Linked DNA regions of Tamandua tetradactyla. The protein of the gene in region 2 interacts with the protein of the main gene of each other region in a pairwise test. Links are inferred from orthologs where the notes say so. Each region holds a gene or a part of one and is shown on either strand. Other genes may lie near its edges.

Evidence for each region.
Region 1: the proteins of EEF1A1 (region 2) and LAMTOR5 interact in a two-hybrid assay, tested with the Homo sapiens proteins (2 studies listed by BioGRID and IntAct). The link is inferred for Tamandua tetradactyla from reciprocal best matches to the Homo sapiens genes EEF1A1 and LAMTOR5.
Region 3: the proteins of EEF1A1 (region 2) and HSPE1 interact in a two-hybrid assay, tested with the Homo sapiens proteins (2 studies listed by BioGRID and IntAct, with this or other methods). The link is inferred for Tamandua tetradactyla from reciprocal best matches to the Homo sapiens genes EEF1A1 and HSPE1.
Region 4: the proteins of EEF1A1 (region 2) and GADD45G interact in a two-hybrid assay, tested with the Homo sapiens proteins (2 studies listed by BioGRID and IntAct). The link is inferred for Tamandua tetradactyla from reciprocal best matches to the Homo sapiens genes EEF1A1 and GADD45G.

Annotation. Positions count from the first base shown.
Region 1 is NC_135337.1:12,520,935-12,528,762, reverse strand, and holds the start of LAMTOR5 (ragulator complex protein LAMTOR5), read right to left. Parts: upstream 3,115-7,828; 5' UTR 3,011-3,114; coding exon 2,976-3,010; intron 2,108-2,975; coding exon 2,046-2,107; intron 169-2,045; coding exon 51-168; intron 1-50. UniProt on the Homo sapiens protein: As part of the Ragulator complex it is involved in amino acid sensing and activation of mTORC1, a signaling complex promoting cell growth in response to growth factors, energy levels, and amino acids.
Region 2 is NC_135331.1:129,525,550-129,532,871, forward strand, and holds the start of EEF1A1 (elongation factor 1-alpha 1), read right to left. Parts: upstream 3,165-7,322; 5' UTR 3,142-3,164; intron 2,138-3,141; 5' UTR 2,103-2,137; coding exon 1,959-2,102; intron 1,708-1,958; coding exon 1,528-1,707; intron 1,349-1,527; coding exon 1,052-1,348; intron 974-1,051; coding exon 823-973; intron 738-822; coding exon 481-737; intron 403-480; coding exon 168-402; intron 73-167; coding exon 1-72. UniProt on the Homo sapiens protein: Translation elongation factor that catalyzes the GTP-dependent binding of aminoacyl-tRNA (aa-tRNA) to the A-site of ribosomes during the elongation phase of protein synthesis.
Region 3 is NC_135329.1:171,755,833-171,763,285, forward strand, and holds HSPE1 (10 kDa heat shock protein, mitochondrial), read left to right. Parts: upstream 1-4,530; 5' UTR 4,531-4,823; coding exon 4,824-4,826; intron 4,827-5,479; coding exon 5,480-5,644; intron 5,645-6,366; coding exon 6,367-6,456; intron 6,457-6,537; coding exon 6,538-6,588; 3' UTR 6,589-6,771; downstream 6,772-7,453. Other genes in the region: HSPD1 (60 kDa heat shock protein, mitochondrial), read right to left, coding at 1-22, 1,663-1,915, 3,092-3,265. UniProt on the Homo sapiens protein: Co-chaperonin implicated in mitochondrial protein import and macromolecular assembly. Together with Hsp60, facilitates the correct folding of imported proteins.
Region 4 is NC_135328.1:10,009,422-10,016,398, forward strand, and holds GADD45G (growth arrest and DNA damage-inducible protein GADD45 gamma), read right to left. Parts: upstream 2,155-6,977; 5' UTR 2,032-2,154; coding exon 1,979-2,031; intron 1,890-1,978; coding exon 1,788-1,889; intron 1,683-1,787; coding exon 1,469-1,682; intron 1,372-1,468; coding exon 1,261-1,371; 3' UTR 724-1,260; downstream 1-723. UniProt on the Homo sapiens protein: Involved in the regulation of growth and apoptosis. Mediates activation of stress-responsive MTK1/MEKK4 MAPKKK.

The DNA.
Region 1 (7,828 bases), on a different chromosome or scaffold from region 2:
AAGCTTCCTGTACAAAAAGGAAAGGAAAGGATCTACTGACATCTACTCACCCATTATCTGATTCTAGACATACCACTGGAATATCAGTGGGGTCAGAAGTTAGCTTAGCTGCTTGCTGGGCTAGAACTGATATCACCCCAGCATGCTCATCTGACAAAGTCCCACGGCCTAGAAGACAGAGATGATATCATGTCACCTGACTGTCCAAAAATGAGTAAGGAGTTATAGTAGGAGCTATCATTGAATTATTCACAAACACAAGATTCAGTTAACTGTCTCCTATGTTAGGTACTGACGTGAAATGCTTTTGCCCTGATAATCAACTGGTTATAACTACTAGATGAGAAAGACAACAGTTCTTAAATCAACAATGTGAGGACAACACTCAGTTTTCAAAGTCATTTTCGTTGCCATCTTGAAACACCTTCCAACGATATAAAGCTATAATTCAAATCAATCTAAAAGAAATTCATTTTTTAGGACCTTACTGAAAACAAAAAAATTCAGAGGTGAGATTGACAAGAAGTCAGTAAGGACAAGAGACTTGTGAAACTAATTAATTTCTCCTGGGAAATCTGATTTCTTTTCACTGAGCTCAACCTCAAAGGATATATAATTGAACTTGGGAGTTCAATCATAAGACCATCTTGACAGCACCTGTGAATACAATCAGTGAACAATCAATTTGGCAAGAATAAGCTAGCTGTTTTCAAATGTCAAAAGAACTGCCTCTTTATTAATGTTTGTTTTAGCCTGTAGGTAAATAATTTAGGGTCCCAAGAAAATAAAGTAATTACTAAGTTTACTTTATGTTTTCATTGAGGTAACATATGCCTAAATTGTGCTTGCACCTAAGTTGGGTAACAGTCTTGCAACTATGGCACCATTTTTATGGATTAACTATTGCTGATTTTACTTTTAACTGGCCACAGTGTAGCCTTTAAGGCCTTAAAGCTTTCTTGAAGAAACTGACTTAGTTTTAAATTTCCATACTTGAATTTCAGCCTTTCCATTAGTGAGCCTGGCAAGCATTTTAGAAAAATCTGCCTTTTCTCTTCCAACTGACTAATCTGTGAGGAACACAACTATTACAAATATTACCCATTTCAGTTATCCTTCCAGCAAGAAATTTAGTTTAAAAAATTCTTGTTAGAAGTAAAGAGTCCTGGACTTCCTAGTTCTGACATTAACTGAATGCTTTGGTTATTTATCTTTCTGGATTTATTTCCTCATCTGTAATTGTGACTCTTTATTACTATGTCTAGGTTCTGTGCTGAGTGTTTTACACATATGATATAATTTTATAGTGTTGTAATTAAGAGGTTTTGGAGAAAGATTCAAGTCCTAACTCAACCACTTGCTAGCTATGTGAATTTGGGCAAGTTACCTGACTTTTTTGCCTCAAGGAAACTGGGAAAGCGGCTATCTTCCTCATAGGGTTTTATGAAGACTAAATGAATGATATCTAAAACACTTACAATGCTGCCTGGTACATAGCCCAAGAGCTCAATAAATGTAATTCTATTATTAGTATAATTATTAAACAACTCAGTAAGGAAACTGAGGCCCAGAAGTGGTCTAAGTTTACACTATTAGCAAATGGAAGAGCATGAGGTTGAACCCAGATGTTTCTGGCTCTGAATCTGCTGTACATTTAAAAGAGAATACATTTTACTGTTTACTCACTTATTGTTACGTGTATGTTAGACTAAAAAAATAGCACCATCCAAGATTACTGTGAAAACTAGAAAAAATGCAGATAAAGGCTAGTACAATTCCAGCATATGGCATACATCCAATAAAGGGTTAATACTGTCATTACCTGAAGTCCCTTCTAAATGCAATTTAAAATGATTCAAATACTATTTTAGTAGAGCCAAATGCTTTAATTCTAGAACTGCAGGGAATGGTCCTACTTTCTTAAATACCAATTCAAAGTGGCAGGACAGCAAGAAATAAAAGCTAGAGAATAGCATTAATACACTTGACTCCAGGTCAATATCAGATACTTGTAACACACCAAAAGTTTGGTGTAAGATACTTACAGCCCAGATTAAGTCCTTGTGAATCTGTACACAGGACGCCAACAATTGATGGATTCTTCATTCTAGTTCCAGAAATAGAGGCGGGATGAAGAGAGAACATGGGCTTAAATTACCATAACACATTAAGGCTTTATACATGCCAGGCACTGTTGTTAAGTGCTTTAAATCAGTGTTTCTCAACGCCTTTTTCATTATCATCCCTCCCCGCCTCTAGAAAAAATAAAACCAATTAACTTAAATTAATTCTCACTAACAAAAACAAAAAGATTGTCAGGTATAATTTACCTTTGGAGGGTCACAAACATTGTAATATCCAGGGTTCCCTTTGCTCAATGCGAGCTTTAATATACTAACTCAAGTACAGCAATTTTTGGAACAGTCTAAGTAACAGGAGTTTCCCGGAAGGGAATTGAGAGGCTGGAGTACAGTGGTGGGAGTGAGGTATATTTCCCTGTATGCCTTCTTAAACTTTCCCAATCCGGATCTTACAAAAATATCATTCATTAAAAAAAATAAGGGATGACCCATCATCCCCCTAAGCACCAAGTAGCTGGTTCGTATGGAAGGAGATACGTGTGTCTGCTTATGTTTACAATGCAGGGTTCCACTTTGCACACGTGGTACATCCTTTCTAAAACATAACCCATTCCCTAAAACGCCCGAAATAACGACACCAGAGTAGTATGCCTCAGATTTGAATCCCGGAGACTCGCTCCGGGAGGGAGTGTGCAAAGCAACCCGGAGAGATTTTAATTCCGGGTCACGGCCCCGCCCTGCGGCCCCAGAGCAAGCCTCACAGTCACATCCGCGCCTTGGAGGTTGTTCCGTGTTCCCAGACGCCAGGGTAGCACTCGCAGCACATGCCCTTTGTTCCGCTTCAGCCTCAACGCCGCGACCTCAGCACAAGCCGAAGAGGTCTGCACTACTCACGTGTCCTCCAAGTGCTGCTCCAAAGTCTCCTCCATTCCGCTGGCCGCCCGCGATCACTCAGCGCACCACGTACTTCTCGGCCACAGATCGTAGGGGCTCCTCCGTCACGTGGCATGAGTGGTACGCAGACTGGATGGCAGCTCTGAAGGATCAAAATAGATCGCGGTGCAGCTTCCGCGTTTGTAACCAGGAGACGCCATGCCGCTCCTGGATAGCCTTAGTGCTCCACCCACTCCGGGCTCCCCTGCGGAGGCCGGCATTGCGAGTTATTTCCCACCCCGGAGAGGGTCGACAGCCAGGCCTCTTTGTCTTTGGTTTCTGGTCTTTCACTTTGTCTCAGTGATTTTTAACCTTTGGATTTTAATCAAAGATGTGGAGAAGAGACGCAGAACCGCTATGACGGGCCCACAGGCTTTTAGGGAGAAACACATACACACAAAGGACTAAGGCGCGAGGTGGCATCATGTTAAACCCCCCAGCTGGGTACTGAATTGGTAAAGTGTCAGAGACAAAGACATGGGTACTTCCATGGGGTAGGAGAGTGCAGGAAAGTTTTGGGGAAGAAAGTGGCATATGAATCTTAACTGTTAAAGAAGACTGGGTAAGGCTATTTAAAAATGAAAGGTTTAGGAGGCGAAAGGCTGAGGAAGAGGGAAGGTAGACCGGGAAATTTAAAGTGGGCAGGTTTATTTCTGTGCTCCCGGGAAGAGCTCACGGAATCCAAGATGGAGGAAGGTGAGTCTGAAATGGGTGATGGCGTGGGCAGTTTTTATGCAAGCGGGTCAGGTGACGTCGGAAGGGGCGGTTCTCCGGAAGTCAGGTGTCCAGAAGGGGTGGCTCCAGAAGCCATGTTGGGAGGGGCGACACAGCCTCTGCAGCTCCAGTTGCAGTGCCCTTCACGGTTCCCCCAACCTAACATTCCAGCCTTTTTGTGATAATAGGGCGTTGAGGTTCTTCTGGCTACTTTCTGCTGTGCTGGGGCGACGTGGGGTGATGGGCTGGGGTTGTCATGGTCAGGAGAGGGAGTAGGTTAGCTATAGGAATCAGGTGAGGAGGGTAGGCGGTGGCAATGATGCAGGAGCATTTGGTTGACTGCTAGCTGGGACAGTTCCTTCATGCGTCCCTGAAGGAGGTTGAGGAGACAGGGAGCTAGGAGAAAAAAGAGACAGATTAGGATAACTGGTCCTACTAGCGGGAGGAGTCATGTCACCAGGGGGGAAGAAAACCAGTCTAAGGCAGAGCTGGTTCCTTGTTTTCTGTGGTAGAGATCCTCTTTTAGTTTGTTTAAGGTGTGAGTATTTTGTTCCACCAGACCTGACTCGTTGACGTAATAGCAGCATTCTTCTTGAAGGAATACACACGTTCCTCCTTTTTCGATGGTTAGCAGGTCTAAGGTCGGTCAATTTTGAAGAGTTACCTGGGCTAGTGAGGTAAGTTGACGTTGTAGAGAGGAAAGGGATTCTGATGTTGATTCCAGGGCTACCTGTAGTTGAGTCTCAGAGTTTTGAGAGGTTGAAATACCATGTCTCAAAGTGTTCTGTTAAGTTACCTTGGTTTAATCTAAATAATTAATAAAAAAAAAAAAAAAAACCATGTCCCAGTGCCCCTCCCACTGCAGCTGAGGCTGCGACTGAGGCAGTTAGGCTGATGCCTACCAGGATGGGAAGAAAGACAGCCCTTTTGGAGTGAGGAGAGGGCAGTAACCAAGTTTGTTCGGACTCCCTATAGAGAGTTAATTGAGGAACAGTAGTTACCAGGAAGCATGGTCCCGGGGCAGTGGAGTTAAGGCACTTGGTAAGGGTTCCATTACACCAGAAATATTGTCCTTTGGCGGATGGGTGGTGTTGTGGATAGTGACGTTAGTTTGGCATTTATTATGAAGTTTTGTCTGATTTACAGTTGTGTGTGTGTGAGGAAGCAGGTTTTAAGGGGGTAGGGAAGGTTTTCAGGCTCTGGTTCCCATCGGGGGGTGTTCTTTAGAGTGGTATGGCAGGAATCAGGGTTATGATTATGTATTTGGATTAGATTTATAGGGGCAGCTGCTAATAGTGGCTTATTTAATGATGCACAGAGGTAACAGTGGGTTACTTTAGGGAGTATTTGTGTTTGGTTGAGGAAATTTAAGGTTTGTTGGAGGATTTGGAGCCACGTAAGACAGGCTGGTGAGGCAGAGAGTGTGACATCTGAGTTTTTTAGGAAGAACAAATGAAATTCCTGGAGACGGGAAGGAATGAGCAGAGAGAGAGAGAGAGACTTATGGGATAACAGGTCTTGTGGATGGTGGGGCGACAGGACTTGGAGAGGCCTACCCAGACTAAGTTTAAGAGCTTCACGCATTAGGGTAGTAGCTGCAGCCAGTGCTCGGAGACAGGGAAGCCATCCACAGGCAGTGGGGTCCATCTGTTTAGAGAGATAGGCTACTGGATTATAAGTTGGTCCCAGAGGTTGGGTTAAGACTCCCACCGCTATTCCTTGCTTTCCATCAGTGAAAAGGAAGAAGGGTTTGTTAGGATTTGGAAGAGCAAGTGGAGGTGATTGAAGTAAGGCATCATGGAGAATGGAGAAAGTTTTGGCTACAGTAGAGGGGTCATCTAGGGTTCCCATGGGCGCCACCTTGGCTGCCTTATAAAGAGGCTTCACTAGGAGGGAAAAGCTGGGGACCCGATGTCAGAAGAACCCCACAAAACCTAGGAAGGATAAAATTTGTTCAATGTTTTCTGGAGGTTTTGGAGTTCTCAAAGGGCTTGCTGGCTGTCTACTGTTAGATGTCGGGATGTAGGAGTGAGGCGGAGCCCCAGATAGGTAACAGTGGAGGAGGAAAGTTGAGCTTTGGCAGGGGAGACTCGATATCCTTTGTCAGCTAAAAAATTTAACAGGGTGGCTGTAGGCTTTGTGGAAGTTTTTTTCAGAAGGGCTGCAAATTAATAGGTCATCTACATATTGGAGAACGAAACTGGGAGTTTGATTGCACTCTATTAGGTCCCTGGCTAGAGCTTGGCTAAAGATATGGGGGCTATTGTGAAACCCCTGAGGTAATACCGTCCATGTAAGTTGTTGGGCCGCTGAAGAGTCTGGGTCTTGCCAGGTAAAGGCAAATAAATTGTAACAGGCAGGGTCTAGAGGGATTGAGAAGAAGGCATCTTTAAGGTCCAGGACAGAATAACGAGTAGTATGAGGAGGTATGTGTGAGAGAAGAGTATATGAATTGGGAACTACTGGGTGGATGGGGATGACAGCCTCATTAGTTAGTCAGAGGTCTTGTACTAGATGTTAAGAACCATCAGGTTTCTTGACAGGCAAGATGGGGGTGTTATAAGACGAGTTAGTGGGTATGAGGAGTCCCTTTCCCTTGAGCCGGTTAATGATGGGTTGGAGTCCTTTCTGATGGGTTATGGAGATAGGAAATTGTGGCCTAGATGGGAATGAGGATGGATCTTTTAGTCAGATAAGAACTGGTTTATGATGGGAAGCTATCAGGGGAGTTGAGGTATTCCATACTTCCGGGTTTACTAGGTGAGGTGGTAGGGGAAGAGCGGGAGGGGTGGAACCCTGAGTGGAGGTGGAGGCCACATGTGCTGGTTTGAAAGGAAGTATGCTCCCTAAGAAAAGCCATGTTTTAATATAAATCCCATTTCATAAAGGTAGATGATTCCTATTTAATACTGTATGTTTGAAACTATAATGAGATCATCTCCCCGATGATGTGATTTAGTCAAGAGTGGTTGTTAAATTAGATTAGGCGATGACATGTCTCCACCCATTTGAGTGGGTCTTGATTGGTTTATTGGAGTCCTATAAAAGAGCAAATATTTTGGAGAATGAGAGATTTAGAGAGAGCAGAATGATGTAGCCATGAGATGCCGAGAGTCCACAAGCCAGCAACCTTTGGAGATGAAGAAGGAAAATACCTCCCGGGGAGCTTCATGAAACCGGAAGCCAGGAGAGAAAGCTAGCAGATGACGCCGTACTCGCCATGTGCCTCTCCAGCCAAGAGAGAAGCCCTGACTGTGTTCGCCATGTGCCTTCTCACTTAAAAGAGAAACCCTGAACTTCATCGGCCTTCTTGAACCAAGGTATCTTTCCCTGGATGTCTTTGATTGGACATTTTTATAGACTTGTTTTAATTGGGACATTTACTCAGCCTTAGAACTGTAAACTAGCAACTCATTAAATTCCCCTTGGTAAAAGCCATTCTGTTTCTGGTATATTGCATTCCAGCAGCTAGCAAACTAGAACAGCACACATAAGGGTAATGGTAAATTTGTTTGGGGTTTTTGTATCCAGTGAAGTGAGGCCCCTAACTTGGTGAGAAGATCCTGCCCCATTAGTGGGCTGGCGCAAGAAGGCATCACCAAGAAAAGTGTGTAATGGGGTACCCTTCTATTAAACATGTAAGTGGTCCAGTAGTTAAGGGGTGCGAAGGACAGCTGTCTATGCCCATAACCGTGACCTGGGAAGGAAGGAATTGACCTGAGTAGGAGGGGAGGGCAGAAAAGGTATTCCCCGTGTCCACTAAAAAGGAGGTGGACTTACCCACTACCTTGATTGTTACCCTGGGCTCAGCGAGGGTGATCGGAGTCACTGAGTCTGGGTGTTGTCAGTCGTCGGTGGCCAGGCCCAGGACTGCCAGCGGTGGGTCAGGGTTTGGAAGGACAGCCCCTTCACAGCTGGGTGCCAAGAGGCAGTCACTTTTCCAATGTCCCTTTTTCCCGCAGAGAGGGCATGGTCCCTTGGGTGGTCGAGGATTGGGGCACTGGCGGGACCAGTGTCTGTCAAAGCCACATTTGAAGCATTTACCTGGTGGTGGATTAGTTGTAGCCGGCATCTTGTCAGTTGAAGTGAGCTGCAGGGCC
Region 2 (7,322 bases):
CAGCCTTCTTGTCCACTGCCTTGATCACACCCACAGCAACTGTCTGTCTCATATCACGAACAGCAAAACGACCTGTTAAAATAAAGTTCATTATTATTGTGAGAAACAGTTCAAATTTTCATCTTTGATAGAATTTTTTTTCATTAAATTTCTGAAACCATCCTTACCCAGAGGAGGATAGTCAGAGAAACTCTCAACACACATGGGCTTGCCAGGAACCATATCAACGATGGCAGCATCACCAGACTTGAGGAATTTGGGACCATCTTCCAACTTCTTGCCAGAACGGCGATCAATCTTCTCCTTCAGCTCGGCAAACTTGCAAGCAATATGAGCTGTGTGACAATCCAGCACAGGTGCATAGCCAGCACTGATTTGACCTGGATGGTTCAGGATAATCACCTTTAAAAAAAGTTTAATTTAGTGAGTCTCAGGCTCTGCAACAATTAAGAAAACGTAGCAATTAAACTGTGTTGTTACCTGAGCAGTGAAGCCAGCTGCTTCCATTGGTGGGTCATTTTTGCTGTCACCAGCCACATTGCCACGACGAACATCTTTTACAGACACGTTCTTGACATTGAAGCCCACATTGTCCCCAGGAAGAGCTTCACTCAAAGCTTCATGGTGCATTTCAACAGACTTGACTTCAGTTGTAACGTTTACTGGAGCAAAGGTGACCACCATGCCTGGTTTGAGAACACCAGTCTCCACTCGGCCCACAGGCACAGTACCAATACCTAGATACAAAGTATTATCAACATCTTATGTGAAAACTATATTCTGGGTACCCCCCCCTTAAGTTACATCTTAAATTCAGCTTACCACCAATTTTGTAGACATCCTGAAGAGGCAGACGCAAGGGCTTGTCAGTTGGACGAGTGGGTGGCAGGATGCAATCCAGAGCTTCAAGCAGCGTGGTTCCACTGGCATTGCCATCCTTACGGGTGACTTTCCATCCCTTGAACCAAGGCATCTAAGAACAAGAAACTACCAATTACTGACATCAAAAGACACTCCAAAGCTTTTTAACAATTCTCAAAAAGTCACTTACATTAGCACTTGGCTCCAGCATGTTGTCACCATTCCAACCAGAAATTGGCACAAATGCTACTGTGTCAGGGTTATAGCCAATTTTCTTAATGTAGGTGCTGACTTCTTTAACAATTTCCTCGTATCTCTTCTGACTGTAAGGTGGTTCGGTGGAATCCATTTTGTTAACACCAACTATTAGTTGTTTCACACCCAGCGTGTAAGCCAGAAGGGCATGCTCTCGTGTCTGCCCGTTCTTAGATATACCAGCTTCAAATTCACCAACACCAGCAGCAACAATCAGGACAGCACAGTCAGCCTGAGAAAAGTCATATCCTGTTAAATCAAAGTTCTCCTCAAAGTTATCAAGCTGAATTTAGATGCTACAGAAGTGTTCAGAACAAATCAAGGCCTTGCATTATTGAAAGCTTTCATTAAACTGAACCCTGAAAGAGATTCTAAACGCAGTTATGTTTCCAAGTTATTAAATTTACAAACCTGAGATGTGCCTGTAATCATGTTTTTAATAAAGTCTCTGTGTCCTGGGGCATCAATGATGGTCACATAGTACTTGCTGGTCTCAAACTTCCACAGGGAGATATCAATGGTGATACCACGCTCACGTTCAGCTTTTAGTTTATCCAAGACCCAGGCATACTTGAAGGACCCCTTTCCCATCTGTAATAGAAGAATGGTTACTTGTTAACTCAAACAGTATCAAACCCCATCTTGAAATTCCACTTTATAAACTGCAAACCCTTGGAGGTCTTAGTTTAATTTCCAAAAATAGCTACAAAGCTAAGAGCCTCGCAGAAAGTCTTTGCTGATCATTTAGAAAAATGTACTAACTGGTCAACCTTTTAGAAGGTACCTTATGTTTCAGCTAGTCAACTTTAGCATTCTCCCTTAACCATCTTTCCCTTTAGTACCTCAGCAGCCTCCTTTTCAAATTTTTCAATGGTTCTTTTGTCGATTCCACCACATTTGTAGATCAGATGGCCAGTTGTGGTGGACTTGCCCGAATCTACGTGTCCAATAACGACAATGTTGATATGAGTCTTTTCCTTTCCCATTTTGGCTTAAGATGTAGTGATGGCTTTCACGACACCTAAATGGGGGGTGGGGGCGGGAGAAAAACACCTCTTAACCACCATCCGAGAAACTTAAGCCGCGATGGAAACTAAAAGGGCAAACTCCAAGGAGAACTACCTTCCAATTGCCAACCTGGCCTAACTAGTCTCCACCCACCAATGTGGTGACTCCATTGCAGAAAATCCCCTCCCCCCAAGCTGAGGAAACCTTCCTCCGGAGCGGTAGGGGCCACAATCGAAATGACATGACTATGCCCCACTGCTCCGTAGGATCACAGGAAGCAGCGTCTGACAATGAAAAAAGGCCCTTTTTCTTTGTGTGGGTGACTCACCCGCCCGCTCTGCCGACCCGCCGCGTCCTCCATTTTGAGCTCACTACAGCACGGCCGAGGAGCCGCCATCTTTCCGAGCACGCAACTGGTGCCGAGCAAAAACCGACCTCACTTCTCCGGGGGGTGTGGGGGGGGGCGGGCAGACTGGGCACCGGAGCCGCTGGGCCAACCCCATTATCTCACCCCTCGCCCATCCGGTGGCCGCGCCCCGAGGAGCCCGCCTCGGCTGGCCGAGGCCGCGCCGGACATGTGCGCGGGACAACTGGATTCCACCACCCTCCACGCCTCGCGGCAGTCACACAACCCGAGGAACCCGACGACGCGCCCGATAAAGCCTTACTCTTGCCGAGGTCCTGCCCCAACAACGACTAAACTACCTCAATGAGAATATACCCCAACTGCTTATTTAAGTCAAGTGGCCGAGGCGTAACGAGAAAGACGCGAATGAGCGGCCAGATTCGCGCGCGGCAGCCCGGGCGCCTAAGCCAGGCCTCACCTGAAGCAATAAAAAGGGCTCCTGAGAAAATCCAAGGCCTCGAATTCTCCCACCTTCTTCCTCTTACAACCCGAAATTCGGGGTCAAGAACCCCGCAAATGTGGGTCGACAGAGACATAAGTAACAAAAAGCACGCGACAGCTGCCAGCTGTTCAAGGAGGCCCGGCCCAAGGGAGCCACACCCAGCACTTACCTGTGTTCTGGCGGCAAACCCGTTGCGAAAAAGAACGTTCGGGGCGACTGCGGCACTTATATACGGTCCTCCCCCACCCTCGGGAAAAGGGGTGGAGTCAAACACGACACCGCTTCCCAGTTCACCCCGCGCCTCCTCCACCAGGCACCGGTTCAATTGCCGTCCCCTCCCCCACCTCTCTTCTCGGGGACCGTGGGCGATGTGCGTTCATCCAACCAAAGAACACACAGAGTCTGGCGCATGCTCCTCTGGACCCCGACGACGACGAGAAGACAGTGGGTGGGGGGCGGGGACACACAGATCCCTCTGTTCTAGGATAGTGGGAGTTTTACGACGGCCCCTGGGATTCCCTAAAGCAGAGGCGAATCCGCCTTTTGTATGAATTACTCTCGCTCCGGCTGGAGGGTGGGGAGCTGGGCGGCCGGGAGTGGCCGTCCAGAATTTTTCTTTTGCCAGTCCTGGTTTAATCGCAAACGCGGTATCGAGGTTGGAAAATCCCCTTACCCCACATTCTGCTTCCCCTCTTCGATTTTGCCCTCTCGCAGGTCGTAGACAATCCCCAGGAACCGCTTCCTCCGCTGGCTTCATCCCTACCGGGGCTGGCTCTTCCTCCACCGCTGTCCTTCACGCCCCTCCGGTTTGGAAAGGGATCCAACCGAAGCCAGCAGACCCCGGGGTCGCCTTTCCAGCCCCTACCATCTGTAAGGGGTTCAACTCGATGACCGTGGCTCGACGAATCTGTTCTTGGGCACGCAGGCCTCTTGGCTCGTTCCATTCAAAGCCAGCTGCGTTTATCAAAGCCGTCACACGTTCATCCCCTCCCCCTCCGTGTTAATGCCAGACGTCCAATTTTTCGGTTTAGAATAGACCTCGTTTCTTCTAACTCTTTTCCTTTGGCTAACGGGTCACACGCGAGTGCGTATGTGCGTGTATCCTTGTGGTACATTTTCCCAGTGTACTCATTAGACTGCAAACGTGAGAAATGTAAGAAGAATCTTTCAGTCTTTCCACATGATCTCATGTGGTGATAGAAATCTACCAAGACAGCATCGCCAAGCGTATACACCCAGTCTCCTATCCACAACTGGATTTGTGATTTTTTTTAAATCACCGCTTTTCAAAAATTCAAAAATGGCCTATGCCATTTAGGTAAATGGCTTCATTTTCTGTCGTATTGACTAACTGCAGTTTAGCAAATATCAAGGGCGAGATTGGATAAGATTCGACCTTTTTGCCTATCAAGTTAGTCCCTGCGAAGTGCTCTGAGGTAAAACAAAACAACAAAAAACACCTATATTTTTAATGAGCTAATTACTGGATCATTATGTCTCTTCTTCCAAGTATAGAACATCACTGCCCAACTTCTCAGAACTTAAGTATTGTATTCGAGTGGCAATAATTGTCCAGGACTAAGCAAAGGACAGTGAAGTATGCAAAAGAAATATCACATTCTAGAGAGGAACCTATAATCAAGTTGGAAGAGGAAAACTAAGATAAAACGATTGGGAAGCAATTAAACACAAGCTCGTATGTTGCTTACTTTCTAGTTCATGGTAGAATATGGTTCTAATCCTAGGGTTTAGTTATATCTCAGAATTTATTTTTTAATGAACGGTCTTCTAAAATAGCCTTCCTATATCTTTGTAGATAAAACTTTCTAAAATCAGGTTTCTCTATTTTTTCATTGGAATGTTTCTTGTTTCATTTGAGATAAGTTTAATAAAAGAAACTAGGCACAAAGTTTCACTAGCAATAAAGATAGCTAGTATTCTCTATCCACAAAAGCCTTGTCTATAATGCCTGTATTTCTGGCTTCTTGCCTTTCAAAAATTGTTTTTTCACATTGCATTTTCCTAGTGCCCATATCACATATCTTGACAACATAGTCCCTGTTTATAATAAGAAAATGATGTACCAATGAAAATCCATTACCAGCAAAAGAACAACATAAGAATCTCTGCTTTCTTGTTTATTTCCTTGGAAGTGTTCATTAATGACTGTTCTCTATGGAACTAGATTCCCACAGTCAGCCATAGTGGTATGTAACTGTAATACTGACTGCACACTTATTTCAGATAAAGATTAGAGCACCACATAAGATTTATTTTCCGTGCCCCCTTAAGCAGTGTATGCTTCAACTGGTTTAGACTTATATACGCTTGGAGATAATATAGGGGCACATAAAATATTTTAACAGGACTTTAAAAGGAATGGCAAACTTTTGGGAATATAAAAAAAATGGTTATTTAGTGATGAGGAAAGAAATCAAAGACTAAAGAAAAACTGATAGTTGAATATTTGAAAGTTTTTACATGGAATCCAAAACTGTAGCTATCTCAGGAAGAAATAAGTCAAAATGAAAGTGGATATTGGTAAAAGGGAAAGTATCAAAGATAATTTGTTAAGTAAATTAAGGTGAGGAGTGAAACATACATAGATCACTGAAAATGGCATTATAAATATATGTGCTTTTATACAATCCTAAAATTGTAATAACTGGAGATACATATGCTTTCAGTTGAATTGTTTGAACATATGGATCTGCTATAATTTAAGTAGTATTCTTCACATATATGTAGATATGTTTGTGTGTGTATTCAGCAACATACTGGGCACTGTGGAATTCTTGAAAAGATGACCAACAGCAAGAGCTTATAAAAATCACAGTTCCCCTGATTGAAATCCCACCTTTTCACCCTTTCCTAGTATGCCAATCTTAGTTTCCATTAGTTTAAAAAAACAAAAAATTAGCACTTCAAATATAAAGTAACAGAATGACACAAAGATGTTTCTTTGTGAATAATGGCATCCAGCTTCTAATTATGCTGAGATAAAGGAAAAAGGAAGTGCGAATCCAAAGCTATCTCAGAATATAAGCACTTCATAAACAAATATCTTAAAGGATATGCTTTTAAAATGGCACCTAAGGAAAAGGAAAATTATACACAAATCCTTGATTCATATCCAAGTAACCTACTTTCCAGCACCGTCTGGGTGCTCTTATTAATGTTGCCATACTGGTTTCGATTTTGGCGGAGGGAATGGAGAACTCAGTTCTTGTGCCGAAGAACCTTCGAAGCCATCGGAGCCGTATTACCGTGTATTTGGGGTAGACACTAACTAACCCGACGCCTTTTCTCAGGGCAGAGTTCACATTTCTGCTCTGGGCGGGGACCCGGCTCTTCTCCAGCGCTTGGACAGCTGTGGACCCGGCGGGTCCTGCCGTGAGTAACCGGGCGCCTCCTACACTCGGGCTCCGGTCTCCAGAGAGCGGACATAGCTGGGTCCGCCCACCGGCACGCCCCCAGCTTGAGTCAGTTTCTTCAGTTCTCAGACTCCGGAAGGAAGGGCCGGGAAGGACGCACAAGGGCCCACGTGCCTCGGCTTGAGAGTAGGATTTTGTTACCGTGGCAGGTCTCGGAAAGATTGGAGCAAGTGTTATTTAAAACAAAACAACAAAAAACTTTTTCCGGGGCCCTAATGTTTCACTAACGTAGTGATAGCCCTCTTCCCCCCCCCCCCCCCCGCGGCTTTACAGCAGCTAAGTACGCCTTTTATTAACTTAATTGTTAAAATGGTAATAGTAACACGATGGAGACTTAATTGTGGGGGGAGGGGCATATTCTAAAACTGTATTTTACGATTTTCTTTAAACTTGATCATGCCGTTTAGATTGGCCAAGTTAAAATATATTGTAACTAAGCATCTGTATAACCTCTTTTAGGAAGAAAAATAGAAGAATTCATCTATTTACTTAGTAAACGGATGAAGAGTAATACTTCTTTGGTATATATAATTGTGCTTCAACAAACAAGCATCCTTCAATGTTGGCCAATCACACTGCTATTGGGCCTAATTTAAATTGTAAGGGAAGCTTACACTCCCACTCATATAAGGAAGTATGGAAGCCCCTTTTTTTAAATCTAGACCTAACCTGGCTCACATTCCCCCGAAATTACGTCATCATATGATACTGAAGGATTAAGTTTACTAGAAAATGATAGGTGTTTAGAGCATAAAGCTTATTCAATTGATCCCCTCTAGATAAGCGCAGTCAGATATGCAAATTAAGCAGTCAACCCACCCTAATCTGTGATTGGTTAAAAACGGAATGAATAATTATGATAATAAGGAGTAGAAAACTCACCTATACTTTGCTAGTTTCCGAGACTACATTGTAG
Region 3 (7,453 bases), on a different chromosome or scaffold from region 2:
GCATCAACAGCTAACATCACACCTGGTTGAGAATAAAAATTACAATGTTTATTCTTTCATGGCTTCCATGTCAAGTAGATAATTCAAAAATCTTGAGATCTGTGCTGTCTTTTAATGCATTAATGCACTGTCTATGCTTAACTTCTGTGCCTGTACTGTTCCCCATCTCATGGAGTAGATGACATGCCCTGAAACGGGAACTTTATATTTATACAGTGAACAAACGAAGTCCCACAACACCAAAGTTATTTTGAAAATTGAACTTCCTTAGTTCAGTTTTAGGGTGATATGGATAGTTCCAAGAATCTCAACTTTTTTTTTTTTTAATTTTTTTTTATTTTACATGGGCAGGGACCAGGAATTGAACCTGGGTCCTCGGGCATGGCAGGCAAGCATTCTTGCCTGCTGAGCCACAGTGGCCCGCCCAGAATCTCAACTTTTAACCTCATTCTACATAATTATTCCCAATCCATTCATGTTGCCCTCTTTAAAATATTTTTATTCATAGAGCTTCACAAATACACATTCCATACATGGTATACAATCAATGGCTCACAATTATCATAGTTGTGTCTTCATCACCATGATCATTTCTTGGAAAATCTGCATCACTCCAGAAAAATAAAAAAAGAACTCATACATACCGTACCCCATACCCCTCCCTCTCATTGACCACTAGTATTTCCATCTACTCAAGTTATTTTACCCCTTATCCTCCCTTCCTGTTGCCCTTTTCTAATAGGGTCACCTATCAGGAAACACTCTTCAATTAAATACACAAAAGGACCAAAATGGATTAACAGTCTCTTATTTTCAACAAGAAACAAAGATCTTGGCCATAAAGAATTTCTGGGATAACATCACTGCAGGTTTTAAATGTGAGAAATATCCTCACTTTATAATAATGAACTGACAAAATGTTATCAGTCAACAGAACTACAACATGGATTTGTAAGAACCACAAGCCAACTATCATGTTTTGCTCAACTAGGACTAGTACTAACTCTTTCTTTCTCTCATCCTTCCCTTATTTTGAGAAATGTTACTTCAAGAAAAAATATCCAACGTGTAGTAACAATGACTCTAATTGACAAGTACTCTTAATAGCATCAATTAATGTTTGCGAGTGATTTACAGTCCCAAACTTTTAATGCAGAGCATTCACCTAGGCCTACACCACTGAGATAGAGAAACCAATATTAACATGGTATGTGCTGTTAAGAGGTAAGGAAAAACTGCCACAAAATTTGAGGAAGACACTGCTTTCTGATCTCCTGAATGGAGCTTCTGGTTTAGCCCGACCTTCAATACAACTAAAATGGAATTACATCAAAACTGTATCATCTGTCTCTCTGAACCCCACAAGTTTACTACTATTTTCAAGGTACAGGGTAGGTACTGTATCTCCCAATAAATGCTTGCTCTATGGCAGGAGTCAGGGGGCAGGACAGGAAAGAACTTCTTATTTACATTTTCCTCCTTAAAACCTAGCAGTATTCACTACACAGCCAAGCATTCAATCACTATTTGCTGAAAGTAAGCTCAGTTTAAGGTTTTAATGAATCAACTTCATTAAACAATTTAAAAAACATTTTATGTGCAGGGACAGGGAATCAATGTTTTCTTATGAAAACTAAGTTCAAAACACTGTAATTTTCTTACCTCTCCTGATTTCCACTGGATTAGCACCTTTACTAATCTTCTCAAAGCCCTCCTTGGCAATAGAGCGTGCCAGGACAGTAGCAGTGGTGGTACCATCCCCAGCCTCTTCGTTTGTGTTATTTGCAACATCTTGAACAAGTTTAGCACCAATATTTTTATATTTATCCTTCAAGTCAATTGACTTTGCAACGGTCACACCATCTTTTGTTACTTTGGGACTTCCCCAACTCTGTTCAATAATCACTGTTCTTCCCTAAAATCGCAAAGAATAAAAGGTGAGAGGATCACAAACTGCAGAGGCTTAGACAATGAACAGTTTCATAATACAGGAACTACTTGAAAGCCTCAACATAAGTTGTATCATTTTTAACAGGGCTATAGCAAGAAACTCAAGGGCAAATTCCTCCATGTTCTTAGTTTACAGACAAAATGACCTCTCTGTTGCTCAGTCAAGTGCATAACTTTGGATGAGGTACTATGGGAGATAATTCTAGGGACCAGATGTCATCTTTCAAAACAAATAAGTACAGGATAACCAACACCAAGTTAGTAGATAACAATGATAGTATTCTTCAAAACATTTATACCTTAGTTTTAGTTAGTGACTGCTATCTTTTAAAATGATGACATTTCAAAATCTAATTACTAACATACCGAGTCAGCCAGGAGCAATGTGTTCTTCCAAGTTTCTTCAATATTAAACCTCAAGCATGATGCAACAAGATTGGCAGCTTTTGGATTTAAGCCAGTAAAAACTGCTCCTTTTACATGGGGAATGCAAGTGTCGTATTTTATGCAGTTGTTTGGATCACTTTAATATTTGAATTATCTTCAATATGAAATGAAGGCTACCTGCAATCACTTATTATCTGCACTCACCAATAACTTCAGCGTGAACAAGATTTAGAATTTTAAATGCCCTTTGGAACAGCAGGAAAAAACTGGGTACAACTAGTCCCTGTAAGTGTATACTTGAGGTATTATGGTAGAAAAGTTACACTCTTCTTTCTATAATTAGCATTCTTCCTGGGAAAATCCAAAATTTAACTCAAGCTAGCAAGCAAGATTAGTTCTCTGGGGCGGTGCAACGATGGCTCAGCGGGAATTCTCGCCTGCCAAGCGGGAGAACGGAGACCCAAGTTCGATTCGCGGTGCCTGCCCAAGCACAAAAAAAAAAAAACGAACGAAAAGAAAAATACTGAGCTGAGCTAACACTTCATTACATTGTACATTTGCACAAAATATAGTTTTGAAAATTGGGTTGAAGAGCTTAAGACATTTTAGCTAAGAAAAAAAGTCATCAAAAAACTGGAACTTTTATATGTGAGATTTTTTTCAACGAATACCAAAGTATTCAGTACTTCATGACTTCCCATCAGTAGAACATTATTCCTTAATTAATGTTATAACTATAATAAAACACTGGTACCTTTGGCCCCATAGTAACGGCTACAGCATCGGCTAAAAGGTCTACACCTTGAAGCATTAAGGCTCGGGCATCTGCACCAAATTTTACATCTTTGGCATAAGCCCGAGTGAGATGAGGAGCCAATGCCCTGGACACTGGCCTTATCTGGCGAAGGACTGCGGGTAATCGAAGCATTTCTAGGAGAGAAAACAAGCAGATGATCAGTACTAACACTACATCACTACATGAGTGTGTTGCAGCAAACAACACGCTACCTGTGCAATAAAACATGAAACATTAAGTGTGAGCTGGGAAGACACCCGCCAGCCATGCTGCCTGAGCCACGGTTAGAGCACACTACCTACTAGCTTAAAGGGTGAAGCCGCCCCAACGTCCGACCGATACCACCAGCGCACAACACATTCATCTCATTCCGAACAGCTACCCACACATGCCTAAAAACTAACTCGCTTTTCACCGTTAAAACTGCCCCGAAGGCAAATGCACCCCAAATAAGCCCCTGGAAAACAAAGTCTGCAGGAGAAGGGCAGGTTACAAATCCAAGTGACCATGGAAGCGAAAAATATTCCTGGCAGGGCAAAGGACCTCTCAAGCGTAAGTATCTCCATGTATCCACCCGAGGCTACAGTATCTGAGAACCAAAAAGGCCGCGATGCTGGGGGCAGACAGTCCATCCCACCCCGCGCGGCCCCACGTCTCTCATCAGGACGCCCCCAGCAAGGTCAAGGGTGTAGACGCTGTACCCATGCTGACCGCGAGGCAAAAAGCGATTTCCACGCGGCTACGACCACCCTCTCCCGCGCGTTGCAGTTAACCCAAAGCGAGTTGCACCGAGGGCCCACGAAACTAAAACTCCCTAAATTCCACCCGCCAACTAGGCCCTCCCTGGAGTCCCGCACTCCATGCCCCACGTGATGGGATCCCGCATGGGCCCTCGTGGCCTGGCCTAGCAGGCCTGGGCCTGCAGCGCCATCGGGAAGCCCTTGCTCTTTCCCAACACCTGACTCAGGCCGGGCCGCAGCCGTAAAAGCCTGGCTAAGAAACCAGAGTCGGCAAGATGAGGCGGCACGGGCCGGCAGGATACCTGCGGGGCAAAGGCCGGGCGGGCAGACGGAGAGGCAGGCCGTCAGCGGCGAGTGAGGGACAGAACGCAGAACGCACACGGCAATGAGCCCGTGTCCCCTCCCTCCGCGCCCCTCCCGCTCCGCAGCACCGCATGTGCAGCCGGCTCCCGCCCCCTAGCCCGGCGGAGGCCCTGCAATCAGCACGCGCTATACGTGGGCCCCGCCCATCCCTACCCGCTAAAGCCAGATCAGGGGGCTCAGCCCTCTCGAGCCGGCTTAGGCTTGTTCCCAGGCCAAACAGCGTTCCAGAACTTTCCGGAAAGCGCCGCGCTCTCCGCGCGGGTCAAGGGTTAAATTGCGTCATTTCCGGGAGGGGCGAAGGGATAATTCTTTTACCTCGGCAGGCAGCCTAGAAAAGCCTAGAAATAGCTCCTCTTTTCTTCTGCCCTCCTGTCCGCGCGTCAGCGACCTGCGCAGCATTCTCGGACGAATCACGGCCCGCGTTGTGCGCCCGCCCTCTCTCGCAGGACGGGGCGTCGGAGGCCGAGCGCGCTTGCGCGTTGGACATCTTTTCTCCACGTTCTCGTATTCCTAGGGTCGGGCCGTGGTTCCTCTCCTTGCGGCGGTGGTGGCGCGGGAGCAGAGTACGAGTTAAGGCAACCGGAGCCATGGTGGGTCCCGCGTAGGCTGGAGTTCTGTGGTCCCGGTCGGTTCGAAGAGCTCGGTAGCCAGTACCGTGGCTTGGGCTCTGGCCAGAGGGGTAGGGGTCATTCGGTGTCCTTCCCTCGCTTGCACCCTGGACTGTCACGGTGCCCAAGACTAGGGTCGAGAGCGAAGGATCCGCCGACCTTTTCTTCCTCCGTGGGCTCTTCGCATGAGTGTCCTGGTGCGACACGCGTGCGGTACAGGGGGCGGGAACGGGGACGCACGTGCGGCGGCTGACTTTTCCTGCGGGGCCTTTGCGGGTGTGTAAACCCTTGGAAAAAGAGCGTGGTCTTAGAAGGAGGGTTTACTCCATGGCCTGAGCATTTCTAGAAAAATATAAATAAGGAAAATATCTGACCTTGGAGTAACAAGGTTGCTTTTTAATGCCAATCTGGCCAAAGGAGCAACAGCGACCTTTAATTATATAGAGAATGGGGAATTAACGTAGAATGTAGGCCCGAACACTCAAATGTGTTCTCGAATTAAGAATGTGAATTATGGTGTTAATCTTTTAAAACTGTGGTTCCTGTTTGAGATGCAATGGTTACTGTGGTTTTGTTTGTTCAGAATATAATTACGTATAGTTTCTGCCGCAAGTTTAAATTTTTTTTCCCTGCAGGCGGGACAGGCATTTAGAAAGTTTCTTCCCCTCTTGGACCGAGTATTGGTTGAAAGGTGTGCGGCCGAAACTGTAAGCAAAGGAGGCATTATGCTTCCAGAAAAATCTCAAGGAAAAGTATTGCAAGGAACAGTAGTAGCTGTTGGATCGGGATCTAAAGGAAAGGTAAATGAGGGTTGAAAGTGCATTAATTTTTGCTGACTAACATTGGAATTGCCGTACTATTTTAACGCCTTGGGGCCACAGTTGGCTTACCTTATGAAAGGAACGGGTTGGATTATCCTTTCAGATATTTTTCAGTTTTCTGGCTCAACTTCAGACCTGTCAGCCACAATACACACAGTAAATGTCTTTTGGGTCAAATAAGTTAAATGCGATGTTCTGGTTAACTCTTAGAAGTTACTTGCAAAGAACTGTCTGGAGTTAGGAGTAGGGAGGTTCTGGGTACTCTCTGCTTTAGTCCCTTTTACTGAATATATAATATTCGAAGAGAGGAAGTAGAATAACAAAAAAGGATTGTATATTCTAAATATAGAAAAGTTCTTTTAAACTTTTGTATGTTGTAATTGATCGTTTTGCTGCATATGGTTATAAAAACTGTTTCATTTGGCAGCCCATAGGCTACTAACATAGTACAGTATTTGGCAATTATAAAGTTATCTTTAATTGCTAAAGCTAGCTCTCCCAATTTAATTTAGTTTAAGCTACTGTAAGGTTTATTTCAAATTATAACTCTACACTTAATATTTATGACTTAAGCCACTTCATTATATCACTTGGCCATTAAATGCATTTTTAGCATTTGATTTGAGTGAACATGTGATTAATTTAAAGCGTAAATGTTTGCTGAACTCCATGTCTTTGCTCATAAATGTCCTTCTGTTTAGGGTGGAGAGATTCAACCAGTTAGTGTGAAGGTTGGAGATAAAGTTCTTCTCCCAGAATATGGAGGCACCAAAGTAGTTCTAGGTGACAAGGTGTGTAACATAAAGTAACTTTTAAAAGAGGTTAAATATTTGCTGTTAACTGTCTTAACTTAATGATTTTTCTGTTTGCAGGATTATTTCTTATTTAGAGATGCTGATATTCTTGGGAAGTATGTAGAGTGAAATAGCTCAGTATTGAAATGGCATCATGTGACGCTCCCCATTCCACCGAAGTTCTGAAATCTTCCATCATGTAAATAATTTTCATCTCTCTCTTTTATAATAAACTAATGGTAATCCAATGTCTCTTAAATTTAATTTCACTGTACTGATAGAAACATTTCCAAATAAAAATATATAAATGAATGCCTAGTGTGTATTTATTTATTTAGTGAGTTCTCTAAAGTAACCCACAGATAATTTTGGGAAATGAGGTTTGTATGTTGATGTATATTCACATTGATTTTAGCTTTATTACATAAATGATCTATGCTGGTACAAAGTCAAGGGTTTACACTTACCTGCAGTTTAAGAATTGAAAAATCAAGTAGCCATATTTTGCCTTTCAAACAATCAGTTTATAGTGGTCAAGTAGAGTTCTTCATTCATGGTAGAAAAATGTAGTTCCTGACATAAGCATTTCCGGTTTTCAAGACTATTTCATAATGAGGGGAAAATCCAAGGCAAAATATTGCTAATCTTTCAACCGACCTGTTTTAGTCTCCTAGCTGCTGAAACAATTACCATACAATGTGCTGTCTACATGTCTAGATGGTTTGCTTCCTCCCTGGGTGGGTATCTTCTAGCAGGCTGGCAACCTTGGGGTTCCTTTTCTGTCATGTGGTAATGCATACAGTGGCACCTTTCTCCTCTGGGTTCCCTTGACTTAAGTTTCTGGCTGTATCCTGGGTTTCTTTCTTTGTCATTTCCTTTGCTTATGAGGATTTCAGATGTACTGGATAAAGATTCATGCTGATTCAAAGTTCCTACTTATAAAAAAAAGTGGGTTCACACCCATAAGACTAGGGATTAGGACCTGATCATGCCT
Region 4 (6,977 bases), on a different chromosome or scaffold from region 2:
ATGTAGGAAGAGAAAACTCAAAATAGTAGGCAGCAGATGCTAACCCCACTCAAATCTACTCACAACTCTTTGTGCAGATGCTCCCTCCCAGTTTCGGCTCAGATCTTTTAGAGTTCCATCACAGTCATGACAGAATGATGGCTCAGAATTAAACCTAGTCATCAAGTGTCATATCTGATATTAATACCTTTGTAACATTACCTGTAAGCACAGCCCCTTTGTTATCAGTTTTTATGAGAGGAGTTCCTGAGGGCATTGTCTGCCACCAGTCCTGCAGGGACCTCCAGGGGCAGTGCCTGCAGAAGGCAAGGCTCATTGTGCAGGAACACCCTGTCTGCATCCTGCAAGCTGTTGCAATAGCAGCTGTGGGAAGGAGGGGGAGGTGGGGGAGGGGAAGGAGAGTGGAGAGAGGGAGAGGTCACTGTTATCGGCTTGAATGGCCACCCTTAAGCTACTGCCCTGGAGCCTTATCTGCAGTATGCTTCTGTCTGGCAAGTTTTTAAATCTTCCCAAAATAGGAGAAACAGGAACAGGGCTTCCAGTTCTACCCAAAGCCTGGGCCAGCTTCCTAGGACTACCTGTCATCTGTGCCCAACAGGAAGATAAGAGCAGGTGCCATCCAGTTCCAGGTTTCAGCAAGTCATCTGAAAGACCCGGCCAGCTCCCTCCCCACCTCAGCAAGCACACCCCCACCCCCACCCCGCTTCAATAAAGAGAATTAAGTTGGTTTCAATACGTTTATTGTCAAACTCAAAGCTCCAGCAGCAGCATCCTTTAAAAAAAAATAATAACTGCCCCTGATTCTTTTGCAAAAAAGCTGTGCGAGTCTACTAAATTCGCCGCCGTTCCTGTAACTGTATGAAGTCCACAGCCTCGCCTTTCCCCTCGATTCTGCTGAACGCAGGCTGCTGCTGAGTCACCCAAGTCCTGCCAGCCAGTCTTGCCTTCCCAGCCGCCTGCAGCCAACGTCCCCAGCCCTCCGGCCTTCCTGGGAGAGCAGCAGCTCCCGGACACTTGCAAAGTCCCTCAGCTCCGGGGCGAGCCTGGCCCTCGCCGCCGTCGCCCGCCGCTGCCGGCCGCCCACCTTGGGAACAGCCCCGCGCGACTCCGCGTCCCGCTCCAAGCGCCACCGCCTGCCAAGTCTCCACGACTCATTCCGGCTCCCTCCGAGGGCTTAATCCACAGAACCGGCCACGCGCTCGGCGCCCTGGCGCAATCGCGCCGCGTTGATCAGACTAAGGTCTCCGCGGCCCCGCGCCGTCACTCGGGGAGGGTGATACTGGGCACCCAGTCGTTGACGCTGCGGCTCTCCTCGCAGAACAGGCTGAGCTTCTCCAAGGCGGGGTCTTTCCACGCATCCTCGTTGGGGTTCTGCGGGGAGACGGACGGAGAGGTGAGCCTGGCTGCGGCCAGCGTCCCCGGGGCCGGAGTCGGGGCTGGGCCAGGCGACAGCGGGGCAAGCACTCACCGAGATGAGGATGCAGTGCAGGTCGCCCGGCGCGCCTGCCTCGTCGCCGGCTCCCACGATCGCCGCCAGCCGCTGCACGTCGCCGACGCGCACGATGTCGATGTCGTTCTCGCAGCAGAACGCCTGGATCAGCGTGAAGTGGATCTGCAGCGCGATGTCGCCCTCGTCCTCCTCGTCGGCGGCCAACACGCAGAAGGTCACGTTGTCGGGGTCCCTGCGAGGGCGGACAGAGGCGAGGTCAGGGCCCGCGGCGCGCGCCCCGGAACTCCCCGCGCCGCCCGCGCTCAGGTCCCCCGGCCGGCGCCGCGTCTCTACTCACACATTCAGGACTTTGGCGGACTCGTAGACGCCGGCGGTGAGGCAGCCCTGGCGCTGCGCCGACAGCAGCAGCTCGTGCAGTGCTTTCCCCGCGCTCTGCATCCTGCGGGCGAGGGGGGCGCGTGAGCCAGGCTCCATCCCTCTTCCCGGATCCCGCAGCCCCCAAGACGCCCGGTCCCAGCGCCAACTCACCTGGAGGTGCTTTCCGGAACCGTCTCCTGGCCGCGGACTTCTTCAAGAGTCATGGTTCGCCAGGCGATCAGCAAGTTATCCACAAAGGCTGATGGAGCAGAAAGGGGACGCGGGAGCAGACAGGGGAAGAGCTCGCAGCTACCCGGCCCGGGAAGTCTACAACCAGCGAATGAGGCATGGGGGGGGCCCACCGCGCGCCCTTATATAGACCAGCCGGGAGCGCTAGATGCGCGCCGATTGGTCGGCGCGGGCTTTCTGATGCAAATGAGGCGCGGGCTGGCCCGGCTCGTGCCAGAAGGCCACGTGGGGAGGGGTGCGGGGGATTACAATGCCCCAAATCTGCCGCTTTTGTCAGGGTGTTACCAGGCAGACTGGAGCCTGCAGATTTCTTCTCGCCTTTTTTTTTTTACAGTCCTTAAAAGGAAAAGGGGAAGAAAAAAATAATAAAAAGCCTCGTTTGCTAATATGATGCTGCAAATTTGTGCAATTGGTGAATTGCACCTTTGACGAATTTAAATAAAAACCAATTTGGCATTCGCTCTGATTGCTACCGTTCTGTTTTTTTCTCTGTACTTTTCAACTGAAGTTTATTAAGACTGTGGCCTGCAAACCAGAAATTAAGGTTAAAAAAGAAAAAAACAAAAATACCGTGCAGTCCTGGTTTTCAGCTTGCAGCAAGCAGGGAACCCAAGCCCTTTCCCGCTCACACGAGCTGCCCCTGGAGTGAGAGGTCGGTCCGCGCCAGGCCGATTGGACCCCTGGATGCGGACTGCGGCTGGAAATCCTGTGCAAGGCCCGTGGCGGCCGGGCCTGGAGGGGACCCCGGGGTGGGGGGCGGGGAGGGCAAGCAGATTGCGGCCGGCACACGCGCGGCTCGTTTGCATTTCTATGGAGGGTGCACAATAGCGGAGGGCTGGCGTGTGGCGCTTTGGAGTTGGGACAATCCATGCTTTCTCTTCATAGCAACACTGTCCACCTGCCGCCGGGTGGGGCTGGGCAGGGCCCCGTCGGCTCGTGGGGGTCACCGGGCTGTGGGCGCGGGGGTCGGGGCCTCGTGCTGCTGCTCCTCGTCCGCCTCCTCCTGCCTGGGGCGTCACCGTGTGCACGCCGCCCGTTGCCCCGGGCGCACCCCGCAGGCGGTCATCCCCTCTGCACCCTGCGGGGACATTGCAATGTAAGGCCCCTCGAGCCGGTCACTGCACGCGTGCACTCGTGCAGCCATGCGAGTTTGAAGGAAAACATTTCCATGGAAAAGGGCCCCCACAGGGCTGCCGCGGAGTGCGCGGCGGCCAGCCCCCGGCAGCCCAGCCTGCCGGGGCGCGCGCCGGGGAGGAGTTTCGAGAACGCGGCTCCGGAATCCTGTTCCCGCGGCGCCATCTCCAGGGGGCCAGAAAGGCCTTGAACCCTCGTCCTTGCAGCGCCCTCTCCTGGGGGGGACGTCCTTTCCTCTCCCCCTCCACACAGCTTTGGGGCCGGGCCTGGCAGGGAATCAGGGCAAGGCTGCAAACCCCACGCAAGCGGGGTGGCCCCGGGCTGTGGCGTGCTAAAGGAGACTCCCACTCCTGTATTGATGGAATAAGAGCCCCTATTGCTAATATGACTTTGGAATTTTTAATAATCGAAAAATACAAACACAAAAAGCTTGTTTTCAGTAATGAAAAAAAAAAAACTAGAAGACAGCTCGAGCGACTGTTAATGGAAAGTGCTGTTCTTGGAGCACTTCTGATCTGTAGCCTGCAGAGCCGCCCAGGACCCGGGCCGAGCGCAGGCACCTGCGCAGCGCCTCCTCGCAAAGGCAGGGGAAGAAAATGGGTTTGGAAAATCCGGAGACTTTGATTTTTAGTGCTGATCACCTACCTTAAAAAAAAAAACCAGGCTCTCTCCAGAAGGTTGGTGGATATTCAGTGTCCCTCTGAACTTCAGAAGGGAAGTTTTTATTCTCCTGAACTTGGAGCAGGCTGTGCACGATTCTGGGCACGAAAAGCGCCGAGAGCCGTAGCTGGCGGCCTTGCGCCCCCTAGGGGTTTGAAGGCGAAATGCGGCGAGAGCCGGCCGCTTGCTTCCTAGAAGCTCAGAAGCAAGTGTTTGCTAAATGTCTGCAATAGGGAGGTGTCTTACAGTGACAGTGGGCCAGGTACTATTGTGCCGTGTTTACGCGCTAGCATTTTCCTCCTTCCCTCCCTGCCTCCCTTTCTTCCTTTCTAATTTGGTGGTATATAAAATGATGATGTGCCTTGATTTAGTTAAAAAAAAAAGTTAATTGTTAAGGGACTGAGATTTAAGTCTTGTTCTTCAAAAAATATTAAGCATTTCTTAACGTATATTAGTTCCAGGTTCCCAGGAAATTTTTGGAAATAAGACTTCGGCATTTTCACATTCCACCACCAACTCTCTGTGCCCGCCCCCCAAAACTTACAGTAACACTAGAAAGCTCCCCCTTACTAAATATGTTGAAGTGGCAAGGCCAGGGAAAACAGGAGGCAGGCCTGCAGCCCCTCATCCCCTCCTCACTGAGGAAGGCTGCTGGCAGGGGGGTGTTGGGGGAGCATCTCCAGGCCCCACCCAGCCAGCTTAGAAATCAGAGGAGTGGTGGAAAGTCCTCGGGGCGAGTCCACTTGGCTCCTGAGTTTAAGGTAGCCAATTTCAGGAGAGCCTCCTTTCTATTCTGAAGGTTAGAGTGGCCCCAAAGCCCCCAGCCCAATTAGGAAAGAAACATTTTATCTGCAGACAGCTCCCCCTTGCCCAGACGGGTGGCTGCCCACAGTTCTGACAGATGCAGACGCTGCTCCTGTACCCTGTTTTCTGTTGGGGAGGGGGAGGGTGGAGGCAGAGCCAGTGGTAGCTGTGGTTCTGCGTTCTCCCCACCCACATTGAGTAAGTAATGCAGCCTGTTTGGAGCCTCAAGTCATGGGAGGCTGTGAACCTGCCCACCAGACTACCTGGGACTGCACCCCTAAACCTTCCCCGGAACCCTAACAGTGCAGTGTGTTGCCTTATTAAAGGGGAACCTTCTAAGATGCTTCCCTTTAAAACCCTTTGGAAATGTTTACGTCTCTATTAACAAATCATTTGAAATGCACTTCTCAGTCAGTCCCACGGCCTGATGGAGAGACACCTTTCATTTGGCTATGGAAATAAGTGGATGTCCAGTAAGCCATAAGCTGCTTTATGGGATATTTCCTGGTAGAATTTCCCAAACGATTTACTTTTGCATAATGCATGAACACTGTCATCAAATAGCAGGTTCATTCCCTCTATGCCATCCAAACACTGTGCCAACATCCCACCACCACCCCACAGAAGCTGCAGATCCCAAATGGGCTTCAGGAGAACAAATCCTGACTGCAGCTAGGGTTCCTCTGGACTGCGGAATGTCCTAGGAAAAGTTGAATCCATCGCTGCATTTCAAAACCATCAGCTTTCACATAAAAATCTGGATTTCCTGCTACTCTTGGAAAATGGGAAGATTTGGCTCCCACGTGCCTGCAGATCCCCCACAGTTAACCCTCAGCGGGAAGGGCAGCTCTGGACAGCTCTCCTCAGACCCCAGCCCCCAACCCCCAACCCCAATAAACCCCAATCTCCATGTGACCTGCCAGGCCCCTGGAGGAATTTGCATTCGCAGCCTCTGAACAGAAACTGGAGGCTTGGAACACAAAACAACGGAGCAGAGAAGCCCGATTCCGAAATGGGCTAAGCATCATTTGTGTCTGTGATCCCGCAGGATCCCTGCACTCTCAGCGGAGGGGTCTAGACTTGCTCCTCCCCAAACTTCCCCTGTCCCTCCCGAGTTTCAGGAAGAGTGCTGTTTTTCCCCAAACTCCAGGCCGGTGAAGCAGACAGTGACCTGTCGATGGTGATGCTACTTAAGGCAGAGGAGAAACCACCGTTTTGCGCATGGCCTACTCCTGAAGCCCGGAGGCATCTCCAGTGCATCCTTGATGTCTAAAGGTCCCAGCCGCCAGCCTCCTTCGCCCGCCACCCCAGGCAGGGTGAAGCAAGGAGTCAGGGACTGGGGGAGGCGCAGATGGGGCTGAGACAGGAAACAGGAAACGCTGAGAGAGGGAAATCCCCACAGAGCAGCACCAGACATCTGTGGCCAGTCTGCCCCGAGCAGGGAGGGAGCTTTCATGCAGGAGGGGCTGTTCATGGGAGAGCAATTGCACTGCCCAAGAGGCGGGTCCCATTAGCTCAGGGAGATCCTTGAAACGGATGAGGACAGGAAACGGCATCAATCATTCATGCTCTGGGGACTTTTTCCATCAATAGTTCGAAATGGTTTGTGTAACCCATTTCACCACTGCAGATGGACAACAAATGTCCCACCGGTGATGAAAATACCCCTCCAGCTCTGGCTGTAGCCAAAAGCACCAAGAAGCCACAGATGTGCCCGTGGGCCCAGCTTTTACCCTGGAGCCAAGCCTTGTGAGCGCCGATTCTCCACCAAGGAACTGAAGATGCTTTCCTTTGTCCCACGATGTCTCTTTCTAGGGATTTTCCGAAGGTCACAAGTGGCCACCACCTACAGCCCATAGATGGGTTTGTAAGGAGGGCGGCATTCCAAAAGACCCACAGATGCAGGGCCGTGTGGCTCCTTCCTGCAGGGCAGAGTGGGAGCCGTGCATTCCCCACGGCGCCACCACCTACAGCCCATAGATGGGTTTGTAAGGAGGGCGGCATTCCAAAAGACTCACAGATGCAGGGCCGTGTGGCTCCTTCCTGCAGGGCAGAGTGGGAGCCGTGCATTCCCCACGGCGCCCCAGATGTCTCTGAAGTGTCACATCAGTCCCCTCGGCACATCTGCACCCCTTCCCCAACCTAGTTCCTGCAGGCATCTGAGTTTGGGGTAAATTTGCTTTCCTGAAGCATCTTGATCTTCAGAATCCAGATTACTTGAATCTTAGAACCACGAGACTTCCAAGCCCAAAGCTTGCCCTCATGCATTGTGATAGTGGAGTCTGGAATTAGCAGAGCAGGGCTTAAAACTGGTTTCTGCTGT